5 linked regions of the Bombyx mori genome follow. The protein of the gene in region 1 purifies or fractionates together with the protein of each later gene. This does not show direct contact. Links are inferred from orthologs where the notes say so. Each region holds a gene or a part of one and is shown on either strand. Other genes may lie near its edges. The genes, in order: Syx6, vesicle transport through interaction with t-SNAREs homolog 1A, vesicle-fusing ATPase 1, syntaxin-7 and soluble NSF attachment protein 29.

The links.
Region 2: the proteins of Syx6 (region 1) and vesicle transport through interaction with t-SNAREs homolog 1A purify together in Homo sapiens (affinity purification with mass spectrometry; 3 studies listed by BioGRID and IntAct, counting the BioPlex papers as one, with this or other methods). This does not show direct contact. The link is inferred for Bombyx mori from reciprocal best matches to the Homo sapiens genes STX6 and VTI1A.
Region 3: the proteins of Syx6 (region 1) and vesicle-fusing ATPase 1 purify together in Homo sapiens (affinity purification with mass spectrometry; 3 studies listed by BioGRID and IntAct, with this or other methods). This does not show direct contact. The link is inferred for Bombyx mori from reciprocal best matches to the Homo sapiens genes STX6 and NSF.
Region 4: the proteins of Syx6 (region 1) and syntaxin-7 purify together in Homo sapiens (affinity purification with mass spectrometry; 3 studies listed by BioGRID and IntAct, counting the BioPlex papers as one, with this or other methods). This does not show direct contact. The link is inferred for Bombyx mori from reciprocal best matches to the Homo sapiens genes STX6 and STX7.
Region 5: the proteins of Syx6 (region 1) and soluble NSF attachment protein 29 purify together in Homo sapiens (co-immunoprecipitation; 3 studies listed by BioGRID and IntAct, counting the BioPlex papers as one, with this or other methods). This does not show direct contact. The link is inferred for Bombyx mori from reciprocal best matches to the Homo sapiens genes STX6 and SNAP29.

Annotation. Positions count from the first base shown.
Region 1 is NC_085107.1:6,216,477-6,222,904, reverse strand, and holds the start of Syx6 (syntaxin 6), read left to right. Parts: upstream 1-2,767; coding exon 2,768-2,802; intron 2,803-4,391; coding exon 4,392-4,562; intron 4,563-6,428. UniProt on the Homo sapiens protein: SNARE promoting movement of transport vesicles to target membranes. Targets endosomes to the trans-Golgi network, and may therefore function in retrograde trafficking.
Region 2 is NC_085109.1:1,648,427-1,654,598, forward strand, and holds the start of vesicle transport through interaction with t-SNAREs homolog 1A, read right to left. Parts: upstream 3,873-6,172; 5' UTR 3,615-3,872; coding exon 3,521-3,614; intron 3,126-3,520; coding exon 3,067-3,125; intron 2,876-3,066; coding exon 2,767-2,875; intron 1,789-2,766; coding exon 1,652-1,788; intron 1,372-1,651; coding exon 1,306-1,371; intron 691-1,305; coding exon 541-690; 3' UTR 1-540. UniProt on the Homo sapiens protein: V-SNARE that mediates vesicle transport pathways through interactions with t-SNAREs on the target membrane. These interactions are proposed to mediate aspects of the specificity of vesicle trafficking and to promote fusion of the lipid bilayers.
Region 3 is NC_085128.1:5,787,529-5,793,954, forward strand, and holds the start of vesicle-fusing ATPase 1, read right to left. Parts: upstream 3,488-6,426; 5' UTR 3,321-3,487; coding exon 3,309-3,320; intron 2,947-3,308; coding exon 2,858-2,946; intron 1,728-2,857; coding exon 1,598-1,727; intron 748-1,597; coding exon 662-747; intron 12-661; coding exon 1-11.
Region 4 is NC_085107.1:5,745,260-5,750,490, forward strand, and holds the end of syntaxin-7, read left to right. Parts: intron 1-389; coding exon 390-459; intron 460-659; coding exon 660-810; intron 811-1,775; coding exon 1,776-1,869; intron 1,870-2,772; coding exon 2,773-2,897; intron 2,898-3,571; coding exon 3,572-3,820; 3' UTR 3,821-3,882; downstream 3,883-5,231. UniProt on the Homo sapiens protein: May be involved in protein trafficking from the plasma membrane to the early endosome (EE) as well as in homotypic fusion of endocytic organelles. Mediates the endocytic trafficking from early endosomes to late endosomes and lysosomes.
Region 5 is NC_085122.1:5,756,196-5,762,043, reverse strand, and holds soluble NSF attachment protein 29, read left to right. Parts: upstream 1-2,181; coding exon 2,182-2,979; 3' UTR 2,980-4,033; downstream 4,034-5,848. Other genes in the region: eIF3c (eukaryotic translation initiation factor 3 subunit C), read right to left, coding at 1,459-1,551; gastrula zinc finger protein XlCGF57.1, read right to left, coding at 4,074-5,165, 5,239-5,403. UniProt on the Homo sapiens protein: SNAREs, soluble N-ethylmaleimide-sensitive factor-attachment protein receptors, are essential proteins for fusion of cellular membranes.

The sequences.
Region 1 (6,428 bases):
ACTGTTTTATATAAAATACCTCAGCATTAATGTGGTCAAAAGGCAGTTCCAACTGTATTTCTAGATTATTGCTGGCCAGTTCATCTTGATTACTCAGCTTTTTCTAAATACAAAGACTCAATAATATTGACTAACTTAGTGAAAGAAACTAATTATTGGTTATATAAGTAGGTATAGTTATGGGTTAATGGTATAAAGTATAGACAATTAGAACCTTTAGATGAAACACACCTGATCTACAATAATCTTTAAGGAAAATAACTATGGTTTTGGGCTATCTGAAAGCTGTTGATCTAACATGATTATGTATGTATCTATATATTTTTAAGTTTACTTTTTGTCAAAAATGTGAGTTCACAAATTAATCAACCTAATACCAACACAAACAGTGGACCAACCAATAATACCAAATTATTTTATTTTTTCTAAAATTTACATTTATTTGGAGAGTGGAGTGATGTAAGATGAACAATGAACTTAATATGAAACAAATGTGTTTATTGCTAATTATTAAGTTAATAAAGTTACATAGTATTTTTGGTAAACTATGATTGCCATCTTATTAAATAAACTTGAATCGTATTATGAAAACAAAGCACTTTAAGAAATAATTCTGAATGAAATCTATCATCTTTAACACTTTCAACTTCAAACTAACACACGATGAGTTCAACACGTGAAAGGTATATTGTTTTTGTAGGACGTCTGTCAAATCTAATCTATTTCGTAGGGAACACGTTTTGTTCAATGAATGTTGTAATTATATTTAAATACAAAACAAACTAGGTAAATTGTAGGAGATATTAATTAAAATAAAAAAAGAATTCGAAACATGTCTTCATTCAAAGATTGTAAAACTCATGTATTGTAATTTCAATATATTATTTTATAAATTTCTTAAGAAACTTACCTGTGTGACTGCCGCCAGGTGTGGATAAAACTCAGGTGCATCTGGATTAAGCGCGGAGTTCATTTTGATACGCAAATAAAAGAAGTGAACCGAAATCAAAATACGACGGCAGCCTTTGTTGAGCGAGCTTTGTGAATTGTGATTTGTGAATGCGATCTAAAGTCCATCAACTGTCAAGTCGATGTCAACTGCCAGTCAGTTTTTTTTTATTAAAAGAGCGTTGGGAATCCATCCCATGAATATTTATCTTTTTAGTAGGTAAAACTCAGTGTTACTTTTTAGACACGAAGACAAGGTATCTATCCTTTTAAGTCCAGAAGTACCTGTGATTGCTTCGAGGTAAAAAAATGCAGGATTGTGGAGCCTACTCATGCGAACTTCCAATACCCCTGCCAGCAATATCCACCCAACTTTTTAAATATTTCATTTTATTTTCATTTTACGATGCTACCCTATTATCCTGAAAATCATTTATGAACGTATCGATAACTCATTTTCTAAGAAAAAACGACCCTAGCCTTTTCGATACGCTCTAATAGCAGAAAATAGTTCCTCAAAGCACCCCCGCTGGAATAAATGGTAGCAACGCATATGTACTGACCTAAAATATCTTCACATACACATTCAGACACTAAATCAGAACTTTGTATTCCTAAATTTTGTTGTTGTTAACAATCCGGAATAAGAGTCAGCGACAGAATTAATTTAAGTTCACGTATTCAAGCTAACGATAATGATTTTTTTTTTGCTTAGATGGGTGCACGAGTTCACAGTCCACCTGGTGTTAAATGGTTACTGAAGCCCATGGACATCTACAACGTAAATGATGCCACCAGCCTTGAGATATGAGTTCTAAGGTCTCAATATAGTTACAACGGCTGCTCCACCCTTCAAATCAAAACGCGTTACTGCTTCACGGCAGAAATAGGCCGGGTGGTGGTACCTACCCATGCGGACTCACTGGATTGCATAATTATTATTTTTATAATTCAACAATTCTCCTTAAATAATTACAACGTAAAATATTTAGCTTTATAGTTATTACATAAGTCTGGTTCTGATTCTTCTTCTTTTCAGGCGTATGCACTCTTGGGAGAGTGGTCGTGTCGTGGTCATCAGTTCGGGTGCTGGTGCGCTTCACATATTGCTTCGGAGTAAGCATCTTTTTTAGGAAGAAAAATGTGATCAGGGTGTACGTGCAAACAGCTGCCAGAATTTTGTGCTCTATAGGTTTGAATTAGGAAGCATATATTGTACCATAGACAATAACATTCATAATGTACAACAATAACAAAAAAGTTTATAAATACAATAAATGTATGTACAAAATCACTATTTTTTTTCGAAGTTTTGTTTTATACACTGTACTATGATACATTTTATATTTAATTATTAAAATTCGAAGTGTATTAGTTACATACAGCTATATATTGTGCAGCAATACAAGTTCTAGAGTAAAAAAAGTGACAAAACCAAAACTGAACTCTGAAAGAAGGGAGGCAACGAGGTGGTAATAGATTGATAGTGTGGGGCTATTGTGGGGTGAATCTAAGCAGGGTTTGTTGTGAGTTCTCCCGCCCCGAAATAAGTCCTCTGCGGTTGCGCACTGCAGAGCGTTTTGCCACTCTGCGCTGTTTGCATTTTACATGAGCGAGCAAGGGATAGAGAATAAGGCTTCATCGAGCGAGCTTTAAACAGGGTAGGTATCACACTCGATATTCTGTGGGTTGGTCGCCAAGCCGAGGTATTGTACGAGTGTAAGAGAGTGTGCATTTATGGTTAAATTTACAGTTTAAAATTTTAGAAAATCCACAATCACATGGTTCTTTTAAAATTTTTGTTTTATTTTTTGTTGACATGACTTTAGAAGATCCTTTCTACGTCGTTAAAGAGTAAGTGGAGTAAAGTAACTGTTCATTTATATTAATAGATGGCATTGCAGCTAGGGTAAGGTAATTGTTTCCAGTGGGTGGTGCTGAATATTACATGATACTGTGTAGCAAAAAGCAAAGGCTGAAGTTAAGGTTTATATACGAATATTGATTTAATAATGAAAACGAATTTAGTATTGTGCATCTTTTTACTGTTAAAAATAAATGTAACACACTTTAAAATAATTAAGTGTCATTTGTGGACTATAATTAAGTAACATAAAAGTACGAAATCAACTCAATCTAGTCTAGTTTTACTTCTAAGACATCACCTAAAGTAATATCAGCTAGGAGGAGAAAAACTGACAAAGTACAGGTCTTGTTTATTCTTGTTTTTATAGCTATTTTAATAGCAAAATGAATAACTTTGTTTAAGTATGTGATGAGAAAGTTTAAAATTTTCATAGAAGATCCAATATTAATATTCTTATAATATATATACAGTATAATATTTATGAAACTTAAAATTTATTGGATTTAAATAAATTGAATATTTATTAAATTACAATTTTAAATATCGTTACAAAATGTCCTATTGCTATTGCACATCAAAATAGATACTTAGATTTTAATATTTTTTTTATTACATATTTGGGTGAACACACTAATTAACAACTCATTCAACTGTTATATTAAGTAATTGCTTTATTGATCTTCAAGTAGAAAGATCTTATGAGAAATAATAACATTTAACATTATGTATATGGCTATAGGATTATTATAAATAATTGTAGGATTAAATAGTAGGAATAGGAAGAATTAAATAGTAAATGGGCTCATACTTTGAGAACTATCATTTTTTATTGCCTTTGTAAAAAGACCGTATGATCCATCTGATGGTAATTAACCTTCATAAGCTATGTACATGAGCAATTTCAAGGGTACAGCCAAGCTGATGCCTAATTTTGAGGACACTTACATCTCGTTTGAAGAAAGACATGTCATAGCTGTCAGAAAACATGTTAGAGGGAGGTTCATTTCAAACTCAGCTACAGCAGTAAGTTTCTAATGACCAAATTTTGATGTTACTCCCATGACTTGAAGGTTTTTGACATGTTCTCAAGAGCTTTTGCTTCAAATTCGGACGAGGAATGTTAAAAATTCAAATGCTTTGTTGATTGTTGGATCAAATGATTGATTGAATGAAATGATTTGGTGAAATGTGATTAATTTTTACTGGTGGTAAGCGTCTTGTGAGTCCGCAGGGGTAGGTACCACTGGTAGGTGATTCTGTTTGAAGGGTGGAGCAGCCTTTGTACTTTAAAATTAAGACATTAGAACTCATATCGCAAGGTGGGTGGTGACATTTACATTCTATAAGCCTGTGGGCTCCAGTAACTATTTAACTCCAAATGGGACATGAGCTAGTCCACCCAAGTAATAAATAATAAAATAAATAAACAAATGTAGTACTTAAGAACGAAATTAACTTTTCTTTTAGACACACAATACTCAAGGAGTTTTTCAAAATATTTGTGAAACCCTATATATTTTGTATATGACATCAGCTTTGACTTACTATATTAACTTTTGGTACTTTTCTGACACAGTGAGGTGTTCAAAGCACTGAATAAGACTCGTGGTTTGTACCTACGCTGGCAGGAGATTTGTAAGACTCCAATAATTGCAAGTAGTCCAGAAGTAGAATGGACTTCGACTGAATTGAAAAATGCACTGCGCAGCATTGAATGGGATTTGGAAGATTTAGAAGATACAATAAATATCCTTTAAAATTATTTTATATTTTGTAAAATAGTGATGATGTATGTGTTTGTTGTAGATGCTTTTTAAATTGATAAACTTATCAGTTAAATGTTAACAAAAACATTCCATTAGATTTATTTGTGCTATCTCAAATTCCAACATTACTAATTTTCATGGTCCTTAATGTTTTGTTATTTCGGGTTATTTAATATATTATTTACAAATTCCTTACCTTCACACTAGCTTCTTAAAATTTTATTTTATAATTCTTTAGTTTGTCACATGAGTCCACTTGCTGTTTATTAGTCATGACAACAATTCATAGATACCATATCACATTATGGTGGCAATCTGCCATCACCTGCTTGGTGACATGAAGTAGAGATTTCAGTTGTATTATACAATGACTGTCTTTCCCATCAAGCAGAAATGCATGAAAGCTTTACAAACACAAGTAAGCAGTTCCCATTATAAATATGCAGCGTTCATATTAGAAGTATTTTACTCTGAGAAAACTTACACATCATCTTATCATTATTAGAATTCATTAATAAAATATCAATACAAGAGTACTTTTCTGTTAGGACATTCACATAATTTTGTATTAGTTACATGAATATTATGTTTATACCTTATTATATGGTCTATTATTCTAGATGAGCAATGAAAAGTGACAAGTTGCAATGTAATGAGATTTATTTAGACCCCAAAAAAATTGGAAAACTGAAAATATAGCGGTCATAGGATAGGATAGGTCATTCACATTTGAACTAACAGGCATACATGCTAATGATCTGTTTCGTGATCTTGCCCAAATTACACAGAATTCACCTAATATTAAATTGATATCATCAAATAGCATCGCTTAAGTTCTTGGGTTTAAAGGGTCATTGATTTGTATGTATGCATACAATAATAACTGTGATAAATCTAGCATCTTGTCATAAGACAATTTCGTCCGGTGGTGGGTTCGTCAAAAACTAATTTAGGAATAGAATAGAGAACAGTAACCTAGATCTTCTCTTACGTGAACTATATAAATGCGTCAAAATAACAAGATGCAAAGTGACATGATACAGTCCGCAAAAAGAATCTGAAAGTACTGGTTTCCGTTCAATTAATTTTTGACATTATTTGCCCAACTCTAAAATCAAATAACCATGGAGCTAGTAGTATCTTCATCGATATGTTAAGTTCGTCGTTGCATAGTTTTGTTTACAAAGGTTGGTAGTACACTCTAGGCCCTAGGCGAAAGCGCGCCAATGGTTCCGAAAATACTCGCGTAATCCCTAAAAACGAAATTAACATATATTTTTTTTATTACTCTTGTTTGTATTTATTAGTGATTCTCATTAATGCGCGGAATAGATAGAGTGGGATAAAAGGCATGCAAATTATAGACATATATAGTTACAAGAATTTCTTTTCAAAATTCCACCGCAAAACACGACGAAAATGAAAACTTATTCTACAAAATATTTATTAACTAGCTGACCCGGCAGACTTCGTAGTGCCTCAATCGATAAATAAAAGACCTAAACTTTTGTATAAAATAAACTTAAAACAAACAGAAGGGATTTTGATATTTATTTACCTTTTAAACCTTCTTTGGACTTCTACAAACAATTCAAGACCAAAATTAGCCAAATCGGTCCAACCGTTCTCGAGTTAGCGAGCGAGCGAGCGAGACTAACGAACAGCAATTCATTTATATATATATATAGATTGTTAGTTCAGTAATATATTTTATTCAAACAGGTTTATCATTTAGCATAAAAATGTTGAAGGATGTCTAATACAGAAAATTATTGACCAGTTGCAACGGACCGCTTAAAAAAATCACATTTCGTTGAGTCGCAACATATCACCTTTCATTGCTTACA
Region 2 (6,172 bases), on another chromosome or scaffold:
TGATTTAGCAGATTATAATAATTTATTAGCTACAGGGCTGCCATAAGCGATTACCTTAAAACTATTTTTTTTTATCCGGCCTGTAAATATGTGTGCTTAGTGCGAGTTTTTTAACGTTCTCGATAGCGTAAAAGTAATTCAAATTTGTATGGAGTTGGATCAGCGCCCCTAGCGGCAAACGTAGGCAAACATTCCAACTCTATACAAATTTGGCTAACTTTTACGCTATCGAGAACGTTAAAAAACTCTCACTAAGCACACTGGTCAGTATGTGACGCGAGACAGAACTATGTACTTCACTATGAAGAACTAATTTGATTACGTGTAGATATATCGTTCGTGTCATTTGTGATCGAAGTCGATTTTTAAGCATTACATACTAACGTCACGCCCAAAGAAAATATGCTTAGGACAGTTTTACGGTTTCATATTATGTAACATCTTCTCGAAGGTCAATCCTAGTTTGAGAACAGGTACGTTGAGTATTCGCTCGAGCGGCAGGGCGGCGCAGCGCTTGCGGGCGCCGCACGCCGGCCAGCATCAGGACAGCGCCAGGTAGAGCGCCAGCCCCGTGAGCAGCGCCAGCGCGCCCAGCGCCGCCAGCAGCAGCGCGCGGTGCCGCAGCGCGCGCGCCGACATGCCCGCCGCCACCCGCCACGACCGATCCAGCTCCTCGTCGGTCTCGCGCAGCTACAATATCCAATATAAAGCATTCACACATTTTTAGAGCTTGAGATGGGTCCAGATTGGGCCCGCCTGGGTTTAAATGGTTACTGGAGACATCTACAACGTAAATGTCGCCACTCATCTTGAGATATAAGTTCTACATTATGTATGTATTATATATATATATATTTTTTTTTTCACTGGATTGGTACACCGCGCGTAATTCGTTTCCAAATGATTCTTGTCCACCTGATGGTTGTCTGGAAGAGATCGCTCTTAGCGATAAGACCGCCAATTGTACTTTTTGTATTTAATGTATTGCACTGTTTATTTGTTTTTTTGGTGTACAATAAAGAATACTCTCTCTCTCTCTCTCTTCTAAGATCTCTCAGTATAGTTACAACGGCTGCCCCACCCTTCAAACCGATACTCATTACTGCTTCAAGAAAGACCAGTAAAAAATACCATTGTTATCATTTTAAAAAGAACCAGACTAATAAACTCATTAGCTTTATTACTACATTTTAAGTATTCTCTCTATTAAATTTCTTTATTTCATAATTAATGTACAGTAAATAGTTCATTTGGATCACCACACCACTTCATAGTATTATCAGATAACGATATTTCTAAGCTCACCCGAGCGCGCGACCGCTGTATGGTCTCCCGCTGTACGCTGAGATCCTGCAGCACAGCTGCTCCCACCTGCAAAAAATTTTTATGCGAACAATTCACGATTGTATGTGAATATGTGAAAACATTGTATGAACTGTACATACTCTGCTTTTGAAAAAATGTTAATTATTGTACAATGAGGTTGTTAGGAGAGTATTAACTATGATTGTAGAAGGCTTTAGAGAAAGAGGTAGATGTAGACCTAAGAAGAAATGGTATATGATAGAGGAGTATGAAAGGAGAAAACATATTGCGCCGATCCCGGTTGACTGGGAGAAGGGCAGGAGAATGATGATTGTACAAAATGTACCTGTTCAGTCTCGAGTAGGACTCTATATCCTTCAGACAAAACTCGGCCTCCGCGTTCAAGGCGCTCTGAGTTGTCGAGCAACTGTCGGCGCTCATCGCCCGCACCCCAGTCCTCGCTCTCCGACACCTCACCCACTACTGTACAGCACATAATAATATAATGGTTGTATTAGTTTAATAAAGGTAATAATAATCCTTATCCATTTTTTTTTATTGCTTAGATGGGTGGACGAGCTCACAGCCCACGACTTTAAGTAGTTACTGGAGCCCATAGACATTTACAACGCAAATGCCGTCATCATGCCCCCACCCACCTTGAGATATAAGTTCTAAGGTCTCAAGTATAGCGGCTGCCCCACCATTCAAACCGCAATTCATTATTGCTTCACGGCAGAAATAGGCACAGTGGTGGTAGTTACCCGCGCGGACTAAACGGAATCCTATAAAAATTCGATAATCGAAATATCCTATAAACGGAAAGGGTTATTATAAATACTGAAAAGGGTTATCATAATCGTGACGTGGCAAATTATTCTTCATTGATTCCAAAACGAGACAACGTATTTATTGATAACTCCAGTTTTTTATAATTATTCAATACTGCAGGTATGCCTGATTGTACATACATGCCTAATGTTTTATACTAGATAAAGATCATCTTACACTGAATGCTTTTTCATAGTGAAAAAACAATATTATTATGTGTTTTATTCCTATGTTGTCTAGTTTCCATGATCGGTGCAATTTAAAAAATGTGTTATTAGTGAGCACTGATGATACCGAATCAATATCTAAAACAGCCTCTATCTATCTATCTATCTCTTAGGTTTATGGAGTTTCCTTTTAGATTTCGCCAATGTCAAGTGTATATAATACTCTGCTTTCTATAGCTGGCTTCGTGAACGAGCAAGGTCACAGATATTCACTAAGTAAAACAGAAACAAATTTTAACTTAAATTAAATTATGCCTTTAAAATTATTCAGTCTCCAATTGATACAGTCAAGTTTTTATAAATAAACATCTATAGTATAGACAAATAAATTTATAATCAAATTACATAATCAATTGTTTTGAGTTGTTCAACAAGAAATTTAAATAATCATTACACAACTTACAATGTCCATTGGTTCCGAGTGTAGTTTTGAACTGTTGTTTGACTCGCTGCAGTTCAGCACGGTAAGCAGCTACACGGGGACCTCGTGCTTCCAACTCCAACTGTTCCAACTACAAATATTTCTGCCATGAAGAAATTGTTAATTGTGATTTGTAGGGGAATTATGGAAGTCTAAGTACTGGTGGAGTTCACTTAACATTGTCTTTTGCATACCATTCAACTCCCATTGGAATGTGAGCTTGAGTAAACCATATTTTGCAATCAAGAACTGTACACTTAACATTCTCTATATTGAACTTACCAAATCATTTGCCTCTTCAAAGTTTGACTGTATTTCTCTTGATAATTGTTCTCGGTTTTCTGTGTATCAAAATAGTTTAAATTAAAACATTGTCTATGCGCACACTCTTTCAACCTAATGACAATTGACAAGCCTGCAACATGCGATCAACTCATCTTAATTAGGACTACAAGCTTTAGATGGGATTTTCAAATGTAAATATTGTGACTTTGAGAACTAAATTTACTACACTAATTAACTTTGAGGAAATAAATCAAGAATGAAGAGAATCATAGGTGTGGTTTCATGGTTAAATCAAAGGAACACTTATCTGTAACCTCTATATCTATTATTGCATTATCTTGCTCATATTTTGTTTCATTTTTCTATTATCATGATATCGAATTTAAAGATTTTTAAATCATGATGATAAACTGCGAATTGAGAACTTATTGCAGCTAGTTTTCTTCCCTACCTGCAGTGCCATTTTTTAATCGTCCTATTTTTGCGGTGATGTCGGCAGTAAGCACCGAATATTGCTGCTCATAAGATTGCACTAATGTGGCCATCGTCTTAATTTACCTGGTACCTAAACAGCATTACATTACATTAACAAGTAAAAATCAATAATAGTTTAGGTATCGATTTTTATGAGCCTTGATAGATATGATGGTTCTGTAAATTGATATAGTAATTTCTGATAATAAATAAATAAATGTATGAATACAGCCTCGTTAATTAACAAAGGTGAAATTATAACAGATTAAAAACAACGATACAGGACAAAAGGAAAACATTAAGCATAATTTGCCACCTGATACTAAGCAAACGTGAATTGTCAAGTGTCAATCAAGTAGTAGTTTCATTTTTCCAAGTGGAAAGGCGAAGGTATCACACTATACAGCCTTATTTTTTGTATGATGTTTAGTAATCTCTTTCATGAAAAATAATAGTAGGGAGCGAAATGAAATGAAGTTGATTGTTTTGAGATATTACTCAATCGAGATTAAAAGAAATGAGATGAGATGATATGGGATGAAATATAATCTCAATTAAATGGTGGAAATCTACTGAGACATTTTCAGTGAACTTTTTGGAAGATCCCGAGAAGCTTCGTCCAGCGGCTTTGTTCCATTTTCCCACATTTGTGCACTTTCACAAGTATTAAACAGCTAATAAACCACCGTTATTACACATTTAAATCTGAAGAAATGAGACAAATAACACCATAGGTGTTAGTTAGTTAAGGAATGATTTATGGAATGGATGGATGGAATAGCCTCTCAGTAAAATACTTCGAATTTATTCAGAGTTTAATGGACTGAATTTGTAATAATAATTGAGAATCCTTTTTAAATCATCACAACCAATCAAAATTATTACTTCCCAATAAAGCTTTTCATAAAAATTAAATAGCCTTCGACCTTTCGTAATAAATTTTTTGCTGTAGATGGGCGTTATCTCCTTTGTCTAATCATTGAATTTGATAAAACAACAATTGATGTTGAAAGATTGAATTTTGCTTTGAAGGAAGCTGTTTAAAAATAGCGATATGAAACTACGAACCAATGTAATTTGCATTTACGAAACATAAAATTGGACTTAGGTGCTCAAATTGCTATTGGCATAGCAATAACAGTTGTTAGAAATGTGATGTTGACTTGAATTAACAAGTTCAAATATTGACTCACAATTTTTTGTAAACAAGGGATTTTTAAAGGTAACGTACCTACCTGCTTACTATATTTTTCCCAGTATGCTCGTTGACTACTATAATTCATTACGAATGCAGATCAAAAATCCATTTTAAAGATCGAGGTGACCATTAGGAGAAGTATGTGCAATCTAGGATGCAGTCGCTATATTTTCTCGTACATAATTTCCCTTATAAAATTTGCTTTCTCTTTGTTTTTAAGGCGAACCGTTTTATATATTGAGAATCGTTTGTAGACTATGAGGTTTATGATGATCTTAAATTTCCTAATAGTGATCGAATGAATGTACCTGCTGATACCTATATGTTATCGAAAATCCCGAAAGATGTTTGACGCGAAAGTCGAGTTAATTTCGTTGCGTAGTTTTCATGTAACTATCTATTTTTTCAAGGGCAACCAATAAGCTAAATACCAGCTATATAATGATTACTGGAAAGCTAACTGTGAAAATGGATGTCAATATGACTGGATTTATACTTAGTTAACTTTTGAGGTTTCTGAGGATTAGTCCAGTGTTGTACAGGACAATAGGATATATTTTGATGTATTAAATCTGTTTCCAATCAATGATGCAATTAAAAGGGGCTAGGTGTGGTAAGGTTTATGGAAAAAAAGATATATCGATAGGTTTCAAGAAACATATAGGGTTATATTAATATAATATATACTAATATATAAATCTACAGTGGTTTTTACGGATGTTCCGTTATAATTACTGAATCATGCATCCGATTGACTTGATTAATGGATAGGCTAATATTTATGGTGTTGGACTCCCTAATAATAATGACAATAAATAATAATGTTAATTTTAAATGCCCAGCTAAGCAGGCGAATACGTCTAGTAAGATTATAAAGCTTAATCAGCAGATGGACGTTTGTCCAATTACTCTGCTTTAAGACTTGAATATATGATATTGAGGGACGAAAGACTATTTGGTTAAAGTGACATTATGCAACTTTATTACAGAAGAGCCATTTAAAGTTAAAAATTAGCAAATAGTATCATAACAACATAACTTCTTCAGGTATTTGAATGCTATAAAGTTCAATTAAAAATATTGAATTGTTGATGCTAATATCAAATAAATTGAACCTTTAATTACAAAGATAAATATCGTATATTATAATATAATAGTATATATATAATAGCCCCTCCATATGAGCATTATAAATACATTACTGTGAGGTGGCTGTGAGCATTCTTGCAGGAAATTTGTAAAGTTCACTAATATATAAATAGAATCATATAAAAATGTGAAGTCAAAAATGGTGACTATAGAAATAAAATTTTGCATCTCTAAATTGAAAGCAACCTTGATAATTTGTCCCCAATCATTCTCCCAACTGTGAAACTATGGTTCTAAAAAGACAAATAGTTTGAATAAATAATAGAATAAGTAAAAGAGTAA
Region 3 (6,426 bases), on another chromosome or scaffold:
CCGTTGATGTTCTGGAAGAGGAAATACATTCCAACAATAATAAAAAAAAAAATCCTAGTTATCATAGTTAACAAACAACACTTTTTAAGTAAATTAGAAAAATACAATAGATTTTTATTGATCAGTTATTTTCGAAGGCGTTTTTGCATCATATGCATGTGTTTATTAAATCTTGTGTGTGTTTAATCACATCTAGAACTCGCGGATAGCTATGCCAAAATAATGAACGTTTTTTTTCTATCGGTAACTTTACGTATGAAATATTTATGCAAGTGGCAAAATTCTTTAGTTGAATTAAATGCACTTCACTCTTCCTTCCTTTGAATCCCCAAATCTCAGGATCGTCAGTGCTATGTCAAAGGCACAAAATATATTCCATTGAGACAGCACAAATTTATAGATATTAGGTTTATTAAACTTTAAGCATTCCATTTTTCTTTACTAACAAGATCTTTGTATGTTCGTTCTAATTTCATACTTTATCTGCTATTATAATGATATTGGGTTGCATTAATTACTATGCTCATTTAATCACAGAGTTGAAAATAAATTGCTCCACCCAATCTATTAAAAACAAGGAAATTTTAAAAATTATTTTCAAATGATGACTGAAAAGTTACGTAACATCAATAAGTACTAATCAGATTGAATTCACACATACGTTTTCTTCATCATGAAATCGGCTTCCAACGTTACGCTGCAAAGGCATTCAGCACTAGAGGGTTTGAAAGGCTTCACGTCAATGGTCTGCATAGTAAAAAAAATATACATGGTTTATACATAGTTTTTTGTTCTTATCAAATTTCTTTATTTTCAGCCACGGACTTCCACCGCTGAACATTTGCCTCCCCCATTATATTATTATCTAATCGCGCTATTTAATTATACGTATACAAGTCTAGCGTGTATTTACATTTCGACTAATTAAAACATTTTGTATGAAAAAATCAGATTTGTTTTTAAAAATATTATATTATATGATGATAGGTGAGAAAAAAAAAACTATTATTTAAAAGTAGTTTTATTTATTTTAAGAAATGTATGCTTTACATTCATGATCACGGATGGCAACCTATCGACATTTAAATGGTGCGTTTATTTGACTTGTGATTTCATCTTCACGTTGAAAATATCCCAACTCTTAGTTACGTACAAACCATTTTTTCAGTGATCTACTTAACAGAGACATGTATGTGTAAAGAAATATATTTTATTATAAATAATAAATCTACTATTTTCATACAATAGTGTTCAGGAAAATGGTGTAGAACCCGCTTCCCAAAATACTATGTATATCATAGTTCATCCATACTATCTGGAATCACTGCATTCATCTAATTCTAGTATGTTAAGAAAGATTGTTTCCCCCCAGACTATCTGGCTTTAGAATGAATTCCTCACATAGGTATTTCTCAGACTTTTGTCATCCTTCTTCATGATAAGATTTAATGCAATCCTTCTATTGTAGTCAGTTACTTAGATATGCCCCCAGTATTACTGATGTCAACTGTCAGATGTCAACGGTGGATGACCATTCACCTACAATAACAAGTAAATATGTAATTAAAAAGCGTATTGATAGTGCATGTAAACTCACTTGACCGATAGAGAGGGTAGCCCATTTTCGCTGAGGGGCAGAAAATCCAACAGTGCCACGGTCAACTCCATTGTAGAACCGAATGCTGAACACAAAGTGTTGAGATGGTCCTGTAGATACTTCAATATGCCTGGTAAATGAAAGAAAAAGCTAAATATTATCTGTATATGAAAAATGTTTATTTACAAAAAGAGAATCCTTTACAGAAAGAGAAACTTTAGATATTCCGTAGCCATCAGAACAAAAAAGCTCTAGTTGGTACAAATTTTTCTTATGAAATACTTAACTAGTGCATGTCGTAAATCTTAAGAGATTCTCTGCAAACTTCCAATTGGCAAATTATTGGGTTTCCTTGAGACAATATTTAATTTTGAAGTCATTTGAAATGAGAAGCTATATGGCTATTAAATTTATAGAAAGCCCTGACCGAGGTACTTCAGACCTGGACAAACACTTGTACTTTACAAAACACTGGTCTGACCTTGCAAGAAGTCCTATTAGATATAGAAGAGGACTGACGGATCAGCCACCCTTCAGTTCATTTCTGCCAAAATGTAGTCACATAAATCTGTTTGAAGGCAGTGACAGCCGTTACACAATATAATTAAAATTTTGACCTCATATCTCATGGGGTATTGTAAAATTCACAGTGTAAGCTTATAAACTAACAAGAAAACACCAGATGGTTCTAGAATTTGTTTATCCAATTATACAAGTGACCCTCCTATAACACAGTAGATACATTCCTACAAAGTCCCATGTTGTGCGATACTGTATTATCTAGACTTCTAGTATTATCTAGACTAGAAGTAATTGTTCTGAATGAAACATTTCAACTATGCCTGTATGTACTTTTTTACCTGTTATACATAAAAACTGATTCTGATCAATACTGATAAACATATTAAAATTACATAATAATGATAGATATTTAATAATGTTCTACAAGTTATGTAGTCTTGCCCACTGTCACATCGACTTTGCAATCCTTCAGGCTATGTTCAGGAGTCTTCAGGAGTAAGTCATAGATATAAATAAGACTGATTATTGAAAATTTTATTACATTAATTTTTAAAAATAACTTTTAGCAGAAGCATGTGAGACTCCAGAAATTGTATAGTTTCTGTAGCTCATGTACAATGGCACTGTTGGAGGCAGATCTAAATTATAACAAATGATCGAAAAAAAAAACAAACCTCATTTAAAGAAAGAACTACTTATCATATGTATCTTTCTATACTTATATTCTATTATACTAACTTGATGTCACTTGGAAAGTCATCTTGATGTATTAGAGCACAGTTGGTGATGGCAAGCTCATCAGATGGACATTTGGCTGCTTTCATTCGCTGCAGCAAAATTATACTATTTTAAACTCCCACAATATATTGCCTAATAATAGTACATAATATTTATTATACGACTACAACTAAAAACAAACAGATTTTTTTACTTTGCAATTTTTACAAGTTACGATTTTATTGTAAACAATTTAACCTTTATTAGTTATTCATAGACTTATTAAATACGGTAGGATTCAAGTAAATTCATTTTAAAATTAAAAGGACCAATATCATTGGTTAAAAAAATAAATAAAATAAAAACTACTAATTTTTAAGAGACTGTACTGTGAATTAGAATTGAATTTTCAGTGGCCTTACAGAGTGTATCGTGGTATTAATAATTATTTCTAAATTAACTACATACATACCATTGAAGACATTTTTGCAACTTTCTTCTTTGATTAAAAACACTGCTCTAAATTTTGACAAATGATTCACGAAAAGTAGACTGATTTGACATCACAGTACATAAACTTACCGTCACTCTCGCAACAAATGACCGCACTGCATTGAATTAACTTCACTATCCATTGGACAAAGCGATCAATAAACAGTCAGTATTAGAGACGGCAATATGAGTCCTATTAATCCAAGAGTCGATTTTGTACAATCGATCGTCAATCGATATATAAATCACAGAATTGATGTCAAACAGTCGAAAATTGAATATATTTTTCCCTATTTCGGATTCAATTCGACTCATTCAGGACTCAATTCGTGTTAAATCATTAGAATTTCATTTTTAACCAATAGAAACCGAATGATGACACAATGTATGCTGGTTCTCTTTTTTAATTGTGTTAACATTTAATTGTGTCATTTGTGTGATTCATTGATTTTTGTGTAAGCTGAACAATGCACAATATGTTTTCCCGGTAAATATAATCTACAATATTAAACAGTTATGAAATTTTATCAGAGACTAGCTTTTGCCCGCGACTTCGTAAGTGCGGAATAGTTACTATGGCATAACGCTTAATTTTACCCGCCTCTTCATTTAACGTTGAAAATGAGAAATATTTTTGGACAATAGAATGTTAAAGAGCTATTTAATGTACCAAAATCACGCTTTTTAACCGACTTCAAAAGAGCAAGTTATCGATTCGACTATAATTTTTTATCTATGTACGTTCACCGATTTCTCGAGAATGCTTCAACCGACTCTGATAATTCTTTTTTCTTTATTTTTGTTCGAAAGGATAGAGTTCCCGAATGCGCCTGTTTACATCAATATCTGATGATGGGATCTTGGAGAAATCCAGAAAACTCTATAATTGTCAAAGTGTATCTTGAAGTGATTTGGGTGTTTCAATGTTGTAATGAATAACGTATTTATTTGGATAGGGATTAATATCATCTTTATAAAAACACCTTCACAAATAATACTTTATTTTAGAACAAATTCGGTTAGCATAAAAAACGTTATAGTGAGCCATCCTTAACATATGGACATATGCTGTCGCGGACTTTTTTTAAATCTTTTAAAGGGGACAATTCTCTTATACTTTAGCAAAACTTTAACCGTTTCCGTAGCGCACGCAGTGGAAGCTCTCAAAACGAAAAAAAGACCCCATTTTGAAACATCTGTGCTCCGCTTGTATTGGTCTTAGCGTAATATTATATAACCTTCCTCGATAAATGGGCTATCTAACACTTAAAGAATTTTTCAAATCGGACCAGTAGTTCCTGAGATTAGCGCGTTCAAACAAACAAACTCTTCGGCTTTATAATATTAAAAATATGTTATTATACAATGATAATATTAAAAGTATAGATAAAAAGGTTTGGATATTTAAAGAAAACCAGTCTTGAGGAATGTTCAAGGTTGACTTGACAGTTCATTTACTCCGCTCCGGTGACGAAAATTTTCGAAGCATGTTTGAATGGAGTTTATTTTTACGAGTTATACCAAAACGCACATTGGAGATTGAGTCGAGTCGAGTTAAGTCGAGTTAGTGTAGAGTAGAATAAAGTCTCTTTAGTCTAGAAATCGAAAAACTTAATCTTTGAAATTCGAATTTGCAAAGAAATTCTAAAAGTAATTTATATATATGAAAATAAATTGTTGTTCGTTAGTCTCGCTAAAACTCGAGAACGGCTGGACTGATTTGGTTAATTTTTGTCTTGAATTTGTGGAAGTTCAGAAAAGGTTTAAAAGGTAGATTATACATATCATTATACATAGGATACATGAAAATGCTCGGAATTAAATAAAAATAACACTTATAATTTCCCTTTGATGTGTCCCCCGCCCGACGGGTTCCTTTTGTTTGTTTTAAGTATTATTTGATACAAAAGTTTAAGTTTTTTATTTATCGATTGAGGCACTACGAAGTCTGCTGGGTCTGCTAGTGTATATTATAATTTTGAAAAGCCAAGTATGTTTTGCTTTTACAATATAATAATTCCTAATGATATAATATTTGCAATAACTAATGAAAAAATGGGCACTTCAGTAATTTGAGCCCTGACCTTCTTTTTTCCATTAATTTCTTAGATCGCTGGATGTGCCCACTGCCCATCTAGTGTTAAGTGGTTACTGGAGCTAATAGACATAGTCCAAATTATACTTTCCAAGCCTCACAATATGGGTCCTTTCAATATATTTATTTAAAGGCACCCTACAGTCCGCTCGTGAGCTCCAAGGATTCGGGGGCTGAGGAAGCGGGCGGGCATGCACCGCGCCCGACCATCGCTTCATACGCAGCACTCTCCCAGTACTAGTGTCGACCTTAACGTGAGAGTACGCTTATCGACTCGTCTTTAATTTTGCGATAACAGTGTTAATTACGTGTGATTTCTAATATAAATAGTCTTACACTTATAAGTATTTTTGTTTGCACAAATAGCTATTTCATTTGATGAAAAAGGAATGGCAAGCACTAGCATATTAAACATGTCTTAGCATTAGAGGAATATTACTGGCAAAAGGATGGCTTAATGGAGGATGTTGTCGAATCATTTATTATTGAAGTACGTGAGGAGAGTGACATCAAGAGGAGAGTACATCAAATTCTTCAACTACTGATTAATCTGATTGCGAGAGTAATTAACAAGATTTCACGTTCATTTTGTTCAATAAGTATCAGTACATTAAATTAAATTCATACGTGATCAATTGTTTTTTTTTTATTTCAAGTACATAATACCCTCATATTTTATAATTTACACTCGCACGGAGGCTTAAGATGTGTTAGTATCGATAGCGCAATATCGACTAATTACAACACTAGCTCATTACGTCAACATTCCTTTAAAAAAATCCTCGGAGCTCGCGCGCGGACTGTAGATAGTGTAAATTATTTACTGTTGAAAAAATCATAATGGGGTCGTTTTATTCACTTTTTTGTTTTTTCACTTGTAATCGCAGAGATAATTTAATCTCTGCGGTAACAAGTGAAAAAACCACTTTAACTACTCTCCACCTTTAACAATAATACTAACTCGGGGGAGTTCTTCACTGGCGTGGCTATCGTAGAGTGTACA
Region 4 (5,231 bases), about 470 kb from region 1:
AATATGGTAATCATTAAATATTAGGTGGGTTTTGAGTTTCTTTATCTCTCTATACAATAAAAATAATCATAGAAATCATTCAATAATATCTGATCTATATTGGAATTTACCAAAGGATCTGATGATACTATCCAATGGTAAAAGTACTTGGGGTATTGTTACATAAGTTTCAAAGTAAGCAGTATTATCGAAATACCCTTGCACCTAAACTGTAAACTTATCAATTATATTGATGGATCATAATTAAAAATGAAAGTATCACTGGTTAATACAGTAGGATGCAACCATTAAGTTGTAACATTATACCACCTACTACATTTTTAATTAACAATTAGGAGATGTTAATCAATATTTTGTTGTACTCATCCCAGAACCATAATTCTTTTCAGTATCCTCAATGTCAAAGATGGTCAATCAGTTACAAACACCTCAAGACTCCCAAGAGCTTAGGGCTCAGTTGTAAGTTTTACTTTCATACTCTGCATTTTATTTCTTTTGTGTTTAATTTAATTAAAAACATTGGCATATTAATTTGCCTTGTTTATTTCACATTAAGCAGTATCATCAGCTTAGAAATTATAACTGCAATATACTTGATAGAGATTTAGCATATTGTTTTCTAAACATATCTTAACTTAAGAATAACTTTTTCATGACAGACGCCAAATACAAAATTACACTCAGAAGCTGGCAAAGGACACTTCCTCTTTGTTAATGGAGTTGATGAGAATGCCTAAAGATAACGCTGCCAACAAACTTACCAGAGAACGACTCAGTGATGAGTATATTGCCACTCTTAATAGTTTCCAGGTGTGTGCTTAATTTATTAAATATCGTTATTGTGACATTAATATATTGTTAACTAACCCGCCCTCACTTCGCTTCGGAAACATTAAATTTTATTATTGATAGCCGAGTCCCGCGATGTTACCCGCGGTTATTGTCGTATCGCGGGTGACACCGCGGGGCGAAGCTAGTTATACATATAAACATTCCTCTTCAATCACTCTGTTTATTTGTTTATTATTATCTAAAAAACCGCATCAAAATCCGTCGCGTAGCTTTAAAGATTTAAGCATACATAGGGATATAGAAAGTTAAATAGCGCATAATAGTATACAAAAAAATTGTATATTAAAAAAGAAAACAAAGTATAACTCATGTTAAGTAGGTAATAGGGAGTAAAATAGTAATAGCTTGGAAGACTAGTTCATTCAAGTATTTCTTAAGAAAATGAGAAGATAAAATTATAAGCATTAGGTAATTGGCCAGTTCTGTCTATAAGTAATCTTAGCGATGAGTGATGCAGAATTTCGTATTTTTCAGAAATTCAGAAGTTTTAATGTTTACGCAAACGTTAGGAGTAAAATTAAAAAATTAAATTAATATTAATATTCAATAATTTACAAACATTATGTATCGCCAAATAATAATATATTATCTATCTATCTATTACAAATGATAATATATAAAACGGCTAGACGCGTCTCTAAAATAGTGCACAGTCAAGAGTTTGTTATTCATTGAATTTTATGGTTAAAAAAATTCTTTTACTATTTATTTTAATCTAATCGTCTAAAACATAATATAAATTTGTTTTGAATTTATTTGTCCTGCAGTATTTTTTTCATTAGCATAACTGTATAGCAACCCTTTATTAAGTCCAAACATATTATAATATGGGAATGTGTACTTGCTGGTATTTGTAACATTCTATTATATGTACAATCTTTATTTTTTAGACTAGAAAATATATTTTTTATTTATTTTTTCAGGCAACACAACGACTCGTTGCGCAAAAGACAAAAGAAGATGTGAAAAAAGCAAAGGCTCAGTCTATAAATATTGGGGATCCTTTCGCTATGGGGAGTAAGTATAAACTTTTTCTCACATTACTAAAAAGTACTAAAAGTACTAAAGTAAAAAAAGTATGTACTAAAAAGTAAAAGTCATATATCTATTACAAAATAGAAAAGAGATTACAATACAACGTGAACTGTTCCATCAGACAGAGGTAGTAGTAGAACTGGCGATCCCTAGCACGACATGAAAGAATAAGTCACGTTTGAGAAATTAAATTTCACCATTCCTTTTTTTTGTATTGCTCGCAATTTAATACAATTCAAAATAACTAAGGCTCGGGGTCAACTTTCTAGAGGGAACGAACACGAAATATAAATCTAACAAAAACGAGTGTGTGTATGCGTGTGTGTGTGTGTAAACAAGTATGTTTGTGCAATAGTTCAGTAATTAATAATCTTATGCTTCGACTCCTGGGATCTTTTGCAAATAGTCTGTAGTCTATTATTCGTCTACAAATCAAGTCCACGTGTGACCTGAAATAGCGTTTGGATTAGACCAGCAGTACATCAGGCTATTAGAAAATTTTAGTTTTCTCTTCGGAAATGGTCTCCTAAAAATTTGAATTAATAACGAATTAAATTTACTGGTGGTAGGACATCTTTTACTGGTGGTAGGACCTCTTGTGTGTCCGCGCGGGTAGGCACCACCACCCTGCCTATTTCTGCCGTGAAGCAGTAATGCGTTTCGGCTTGAAGTGTGGGGCAGCCGTTGTAACTATACTTGAGACCTTAGAACTTATATCTCGCGGTGGGTGGCGCATTTACGTTGTAGATGTCTATGGGCTCCAGTAACCTTAACACCAGGTGGGCTGTGAGCTCGTCCACCCATCTAAGCAATAAAAAAAAATCATAGAATTTCAACATACGGAAAATTTGACCTATTTACATAATTATGATGTTGTTTGTGTAGACAGTAACAAAGATTTGGTAGAGATGACCGAGACAGATGTCCGTAAGCAGGAGCAAATGAATATGCAAGCTGAACGTTCTCTCGTCGAATTGGAGGAACGCGAAAGAGATATTCGGCAACTTGAGGTATATATATTTCATAATTTAACTAAACTCCAAAAGAAATATCATAATCATATCTATTAAATTTTATTATTCGCCCAGTATCGATCATGATAAAAAGAGGTTTTTTTTTAAATAAAACAAAAAATTAATTTAATGAATTTGAATTCTAAAATGAATGCCTGTAATGTCTTATATTAATGTCAAATGGAGAATAGATTAATATTGTTTGTCTTTAATACATACTACTTATTTATAGTGTAGGTACCCTTGGCGAAATCTGTGGTTATAGAAGTAAAGTTCATTGACAATAGAACCATCATAATGTTAAAACTTATAATTTAAATTAGCTTTTCCCAAAATGGGCGATAACGCCGCTTTGTGGGCGTTGCAGGCCTAAAGGGGGGCGGTAAGAGACCCAGAAAAAAATGGGGGCGTTGTGTAGAGGCTTGGGAGGCGATTTGTAATTTCATCTAGGAAGACTCTTAGACACCGGCTGAGCTCTCGCTATAGTGGTTTTGAAGTAGTTGAAAAAATGGGGGCGCTAAAAATAATTTATTCTCAAAGTGGGCAGTAGACAAAATAAGTTTGGTAACCCCTGATTTAAATTAATAATTATAGTCGAATTTCGACTACTGGGCGGCCACTAGTTAAAGTAATTGTATTTAAGGAATATCAAATCTGACCGTTTGTTTTAGAGTGACATACTAACCGTTAACGACATCTTCAAAGAGCTGAGTACAATGATACACGCTCAAGGCGAAGTTGTGGACTCCATCGAGTCTAGTGTTGAATACACGGCACAGAACGTCGAGAGCGCCACACAGCAACTCCGGGAGGCTGGGAATTACAAAGTAAATATTATATTAATACTTTATTTTAACAGTAACCTACATTACACAAAAAGAAAAACATACATCAGACATATGTATTATAATACTAGCTGACTCGGCAGACTTCGTAGTGCCTCAACCGATAAATAAAAGACCTAAACTTTTGTATAAAATAAATTGTTTTTTTTTTTTAATTTAATTCCGAGCATTTTCATATTTATCTACCTTTTAAAACTTCTCTGGACTTCCACAAATTTCTCTAGTTTTAGCGAGACTAACGAACAGCTATTGATTTTTATATATATATAGACTAGCGGACCCGACAGACGTTGTCCTGAAACAATCATTTAAGTCGGTCCAGCCATTTAGTTGTAATATAGATAAATAGTCTAGATACCGACTGCAGCGCCATCTACCGGGCTGATTTGTGAATCTAAACCATCCAGGGCGCCACCCAAGCGCATACAAAAAAATTATTCAAATCGGTCCAGCCGTTTAGGAGGAGGAGTTCAGTGACAAACACACGCATAGAAGAAATATAGTCTTTTCGCATTAAAAGTACAATTTCCAAAAATATTCGAAATTGAGTTAATATGCGGAATCATTTGGTATGACCAGTATTTTTCTCATAAATACTGTCCAAAGAGCGTATTTTAGTTTTTTTTTTTTTTTTACTTTACCTATGTTTTGACTACTATTAACAAAATTAATACATAATTTTATCTTACTTTAAAAGACACATAGTGTAGCTGGTAAAAAATAAAATAAAAAAATGTTGCAAAGATGATTAATATTAAAAATATCACATGTTATAGACCTTTAAAACACTCTCCTGTAAAATTAGTAAGTTTTGATATTATACAGCTTTAATGCGAGAATACTATATATCAATAAAGATAAAAATATTAATTATTGAAAACTTGTGGTACGTTTTTGTTGTTTACGTGTATTAACTTTTTTTTCCAGAACAAACTGAGGAAGAAGAAAGTCTACTTGGCGATAATATTGATCATTGTGGTGTCAATAATCTTGATCGTTTTGTTCCACAACTAAACACAGCTTCGAGATGATATCGTTGCTTTTGAAAAACGTAAATGTCTTTTAAAATAAATAAATATACGTGGATTAAAATAAATAATGACATGTTTTGTACTATTTTCTAATATACAGTTGTAATGTGAATTGTGATACACAATAGAAAATACAGAATTATTCGCAATCCATCATGTAGAAGGATTGACACTAAGTAAGAACACAAAACAATTCCGTAGGTTTAGTTTATAATTTGTTTTCGATGTGTCGTATATGTAATACCTTTTTTTTTTAATGACCAATAATGTGTAGACTATATTAAAAAAATTCGGACTGTTCCTTTAACGTTTGCTACAACAAAAATGAATTTGCAAAAAATACTACGTACAAAAAACTTATGTTCGTTAATATACACAAGGGATTATTAATTGCTTTTTATTATAATAAATAAATAGCAAAACTGGTAGCAGCGTTTTGAAGACATCTCGATATA
Region 5 (5,848 bases), on another chromosome or scaffold:
ATGGCGCACTTTTAAGATTTTTAATCTGTTAACAATATACAATATTAAAAGATGACAACAAAAAAAAAATTAGCAAAAAAACACAGCAACTCTTATCTCCCAATCAATTTATAACTTTTAGTCTGATCATTTTCTTTTTAAAATTTGAAGCATATGTTTAATGTTTATTACAATTAACATTAGATATGTGTCGTTCGCCAACGAACGAACCAAACGACCCGGGTTTCAAAATCCGCGCGAACATTTCAAAAAATATGAGTCGTTCACTAGATTGACCCGTTTAACAAAACCTACGAATCAGAAGAAAAGAACCATGCAACAGTCATTCGGGTCATTTCGGGTTGCCGGGTCTCGCCCCGCGCCCGTCTCGGTTAGACGTTCGCTGTCGCATAATGACGCATAACGTATTTGAATTTTTTTTATCTCACCTAAACAATCGAACTATAACAGTTCCTTTAAACTGTTATTCAATACTAAACTTCATTCAGCCAGTGACCTGATAATATTAATCACATCATAAATTGGTGTGATTAACGGAAATCCAAACGTTTGACTGAACGGGTCGAACGAACCGGATCATTTTGTCAACAGGTCAGTATTGATCTGATTCTCTAAAATTGATTGAACAACACATATCTAATTCACATCACTGTACTATTCCGGAATCAAAGCATCTTGTTATACAAGTCAAGACAAATTAATAACAAATTGATATGCCAATCACTAGATGCACTTATTAAACTCATAATTGAAATAAATAGAAGTTTTAGTGGCTTACTATTGTTACTATTAAATTATTTATCCATGTATATTATTATATTACTCCAAATTATCTTTCAAGCAGTATGCCAGTTGACCAACAAGTCTACTAAGAGTTTAGGAACGAAAGAGTAGCACGAGCAACCCTTTGTCCTGCCAAGATGTAACTTGTGGGATTTTTTCAGATATTTTAAATTTAACATGGGTTGAATCCTATGTCATACCTTATTTATTATGAATTAAAAATGTTTTAATAATATTATACCATATTTTACAAAGATGACTGAATACAAGAAATAAAATTTATAATTAAAATAATTTCACAATCATTACAAAATATGGCTGTTCCCTTTGCCCATTCAATTTTTTGGACAAGTCGTTAGAAAGCTGTAAGCTGGCACAATAGCAGATTGCGAGCAGAGCAGAAATACATTATTGATCGCTACCCCCTCTATTAGCTACTGATAGTGGACATTTAGGAAAGAATTTAAAGGATCACATTTTTCAAAACTTCTAAAAGAGTTACAAAATTTTGCTAATTGCATTGCTGATTACCGAAAAAAAGTTTCATATATCTTGTCATCCTACATGAGATTAATGTTAGTCTCCCTTGGTAACTTAAAAAACTATTTATCTTTTTTTAAACTATAAATTGAAAATTTTGTTTCCTTGATTCCCAATTATTTATTTTAAATTTACCGTGTAAACTGGCGCGGGGGCGCGTACTACTGGCTCGTCCTCGCTGCTGCTCTCTGACTCCGAGTCCGTCCCAGTTGCAAAGAAACGACTCATATTTACAAGAGTTAGTTAATGCTTCTGTAAAAGAAAACTTCGTTAATTCCAAATGAACATTATTTGACTCCAATGGTAATTTATTTTCTTAAATATCTTAAATAAACATCAAAATTAGTAATAAATAGTTGACTTGTCCTCGCGTTGAGGTTATAAATTAGAACTGTTTAACATTTTTACAATACTTACTGTCTTATATTAAAAACAGAGTAGGTATTCAGTTTTCAAGCAATCCTCTGATGATAGACTTAATAAATTTGTAGCGAATAGAAAGAAAGCTCTCAAATACAGACCTTGCCCACGACTCACTTCATACGTCAAACGCATCAAAGTTGATCAAAGAGCTAAACTTTGTTTCAATTGTTCAATTGGAAAGGCAAAGGGAACGTGGCATATTGACTTTTTTTGTTCAATTAGACAGACACTTAAAAAAATCGTTTTATTTGGCTACATCCCTTTGCTCGTCGTATCAGATAAATTAAACCTAAAATAAACATTTATGGTACATACCTACCATAATAATTGTGTATTATCTGTGCTTACCACCCCCATAATTTCAAGTGCATTCTTTTTGAACATCACCAATAAAGTAACGAGAACACACCTACGTAGTAAATTACATTTTAAGCAATGTCTGGGCATAAATATTTCACAAATCCGAACAACCTATTCGAAAATGACGACGTCGATGATAACGAATTTGTAGATCGCTTCCGGTCAAGAATACCTCAAACACAGCAAGCAAATAAGCCTTATGGAGGTCATATTGCAGAACTGGAACGTCAACGCCAAGCTATGATCCAAACACAAAGAGAAATCGAACAACGGACAATAGATTCATCAACGAGAAGTATCGGATTGCTTCGTGATTCTGAACAAATTGGTATTGCAACGGCCGAAGAGCTTTCCCGACAACGTGAACAGCTACAGAACACAGACAGGCGACTTGATGAGATTAACACCAATTTAAACTATAGTCAAAAACATTTAAATGGTATAAAGTCTGTATTTTATGGTCTGAAGAATTATATTTCCGGAAAAAGTGATCAAACACCATCTAAAAGTCCAGCGACCTCGAATGTACGTAATGCTGGTACAAGTAGTAGCAGGCTTGATGAAACCCTAGATAATATGTCTAGGAACGTTGAAGATCGCTTTGAGAGTCATCCCTCAGCACGCCTACATGGTTTGTCTCAAGAAAGCGCTAAGAGTCCTGAAACAGAAAACGAGAGAGTAAATAATATACTTGATTCGAACTTGGATGAAATGGTGCATGCTATATCCCGGCTCAAACATCTAGGAGTTGCACTTGGTGAAGAGATAGAACAGCAAAACAACCTCGTGGATACTATTCAAGACAAAGTTGAGATTGCAGATATCAAGATTGGTAAACAAAATAAACAAATGAATAAACTACTTGGGAAATAGCAATAATTATAGCAAATTAAAGATTTATTTTAAACAACAACTAAAAGGGTCTATTAATCTATTAAATGTATCTGTTTATAAAGATTTAGCATGTTTTTAATGTGAGTGGTTTGCAAAATTCAGTAGTGTAATCATTTTGTGTGATAAGGAATACTAATGTATGGCAAAGTTTGATAAGATTATTTTTTATTTGAATCACATGACCAGCAGCAATTTGATAAACAACATGGTGTAAAAAGGGGATTTCATAGTAAAGGAAAAATCCATATATAATAAACCTACTAGTAATGTAAATTGTCTGAAAGGCTTCTTACTGCATACTAATGCTCTATACATTCGTCACCACTGCTGAGCTGACTGGCATTTTTATAAAGCTTCATAGTATGTAATAATGGTTCTTGTGTGATACTGTCCATTGTTAGCTGATCATGTACACTTAGTTACATCTAATAAAATGGTGTATGATTCATATTATTTAGGTAAACCTTTTCTGTATCATATTCGATCATCATAACCTTCATTCATTCTTCATAACTTTATTGTGCACAGTATATAGTAAAAAAAATTATCTTGTAATCTTTAAATAAATGTGTTATCTTTTTGGCTAGCAACTTATCATGACAAATTTCTTCTATTTGTTTCTAATTGTTGTTCATGCAATTAGAGACAGTTACAGTATAATAGCTAGGTTTCACTATTTTAAGATAAAGTTTTAAGTACACTTAAATATATATAAATAAGACTTGTGTGCAAATAAAACAATATTAGGGCAAAACAACCAATATAAGGTGAGTACTTACTTTAAGTACCTATGTTCTATTAACTAATCCAAATTTTAAATGGGTGAAAGTTCCAGACACCTCATCATGAATTATGTTCTTGCATCATAAAGTAAGGTACATACATACTAATATTGTTATCAATGAGTTAATGTTTGCCATTAACAATAATTTCATTTATATCCAAGAACCTAGCGATAAGTGTAAACAGTCATTATTATTATATATACTTATTTTATATTGTTTCCATTAATAAATATATTTCAAATCACAAATGCTTTATTTTCTTTAGTTTTTTAAATTCTAGATAGTAATTTACATATTTGCATCAAATACTTGTTCGAAGAAAGTATTATCAACAACAGTTTCCAATATCATGTCATTGGCATCAACATTATGAGTTTTTATATGTTTTTGAAGAACTCTTTTATTTGACAGTTTCTTCCCGCATATATTGCAATGGAGCTCCACAGTGGCATGAGATTCCATATGCATTTTTAAGCCTGAGGCTGTTGCAAAACCTTTGAAACAAGTTGTGCATTTGTGCTGTCTCTCTGTCGTGTGAGTGTGTGCAAAATGCACCAACAATGAATGTTTGGTGGCAAAGCTTCTTTCACAGTCTTTATTGGAACATTTAAATGGTTTTGGTCTCTGTTGGCCAGTATGAACTATGCTATGTTCCCGTAAATAAATAGCTCTGGTGTAAGCTTTAGGGCAACTAGGGCAAGCAAACTGTTTTACTCCAGTATGACTTTTCATGTGCATGACTAGAGTTGATTTTGCTGTAAATCGTTTTCCACATGTAACACATACAAACAGTTTACTGTTGCTCGAATGAGCGACTCGAAAGTGCTCTTTCAATGACTGCCTTGATTTATAGGTTTTGTTGCAAAAACCACATTTGAACTGAGCAATATCTCTGTGGCTCAAGAGATGTTGGCGTAAGCATCCAGAGTTGTGAAATGTTTTGCCACATTTGGAACACAAGAAGCTTTTCACATTAGCATGCTTAGTCATGTGATACCTTAAACCATATATTCTTGTAAATGACTTAGAGCAAACTGTACATGTGTATTTTTTTTCACTTTCTTTTTTAGGCGGTTGTTCAGTTGATTTAATTACAGTAACAGGAGGTAAAGGCGTTAACTCTTTAGATGAGAATGGTTCAAAGTCTAATGAAGCATGGTTATTGAAAAGTGGAATATCATATTCATGATCTTGATAAACAACATTAATATCAATATTTTCTATTTCAGTCCTGTGAAGATTAGTCAGAGATTGCATCATAAGCATTTGAGATAAGGTTGCATTAGCTTTTAGACAGTTTAATTTGAAATTGTAGGAATGCAAAGCTGTAGAAACACACGACGAACATATTCCTTGTGGCCAATTCTCTTCGTCATTATTCTGAAAATTAAAATAATATTAAATAAGATACATAATATTGTAGCAACAAAAAAGTGGGATAAACACCGTTTACCTCTAAACAGTTCAGGAAAACTAAAACATCGATCAGTTTAACCTTACTCATTTCGTGTTCTACTAAGTCCTGAACATTCATAAACATTGTAGAATCAGATTCTGTTAAGCAAGTCCGACATATGTTTTTTGACAAAGGTATTATTAGACTTGTGAATTCCATCATTAATGGTAGGTACTAAAAATCAAACGGAAATTTATCAAAAACATCAACCATATTTTTCACAGCAAAATTCACATCAATTAAATAAATTAGTGCAGTCTATGTCCATAGATTATACACTTAATATTTGTGCTATGTCAACTACTTACAGATAAGTAATACTCGGCTCACTGAATTTGGCCTCCTTTTTTTTGATTTACGGATTTTTTTATTTTTAATTATTTGTTCATCGTTTGTTCGTTAATGTTCGAATGTAAAAATTGTTTGTTCGTCTTTTATTTATTTATAATTATTAAACAAATGATCACCCTTAAGTTGGCCCCCTTTACTAGATTTTTTTTCTATCGCTCAGATTAATTAATTTTGATCAATTATCGTCTGCTCGACGACTATTGGTCATTGTTCGATCATAAAAACAATTTAATTCCCAATTATTAATTATTTTATA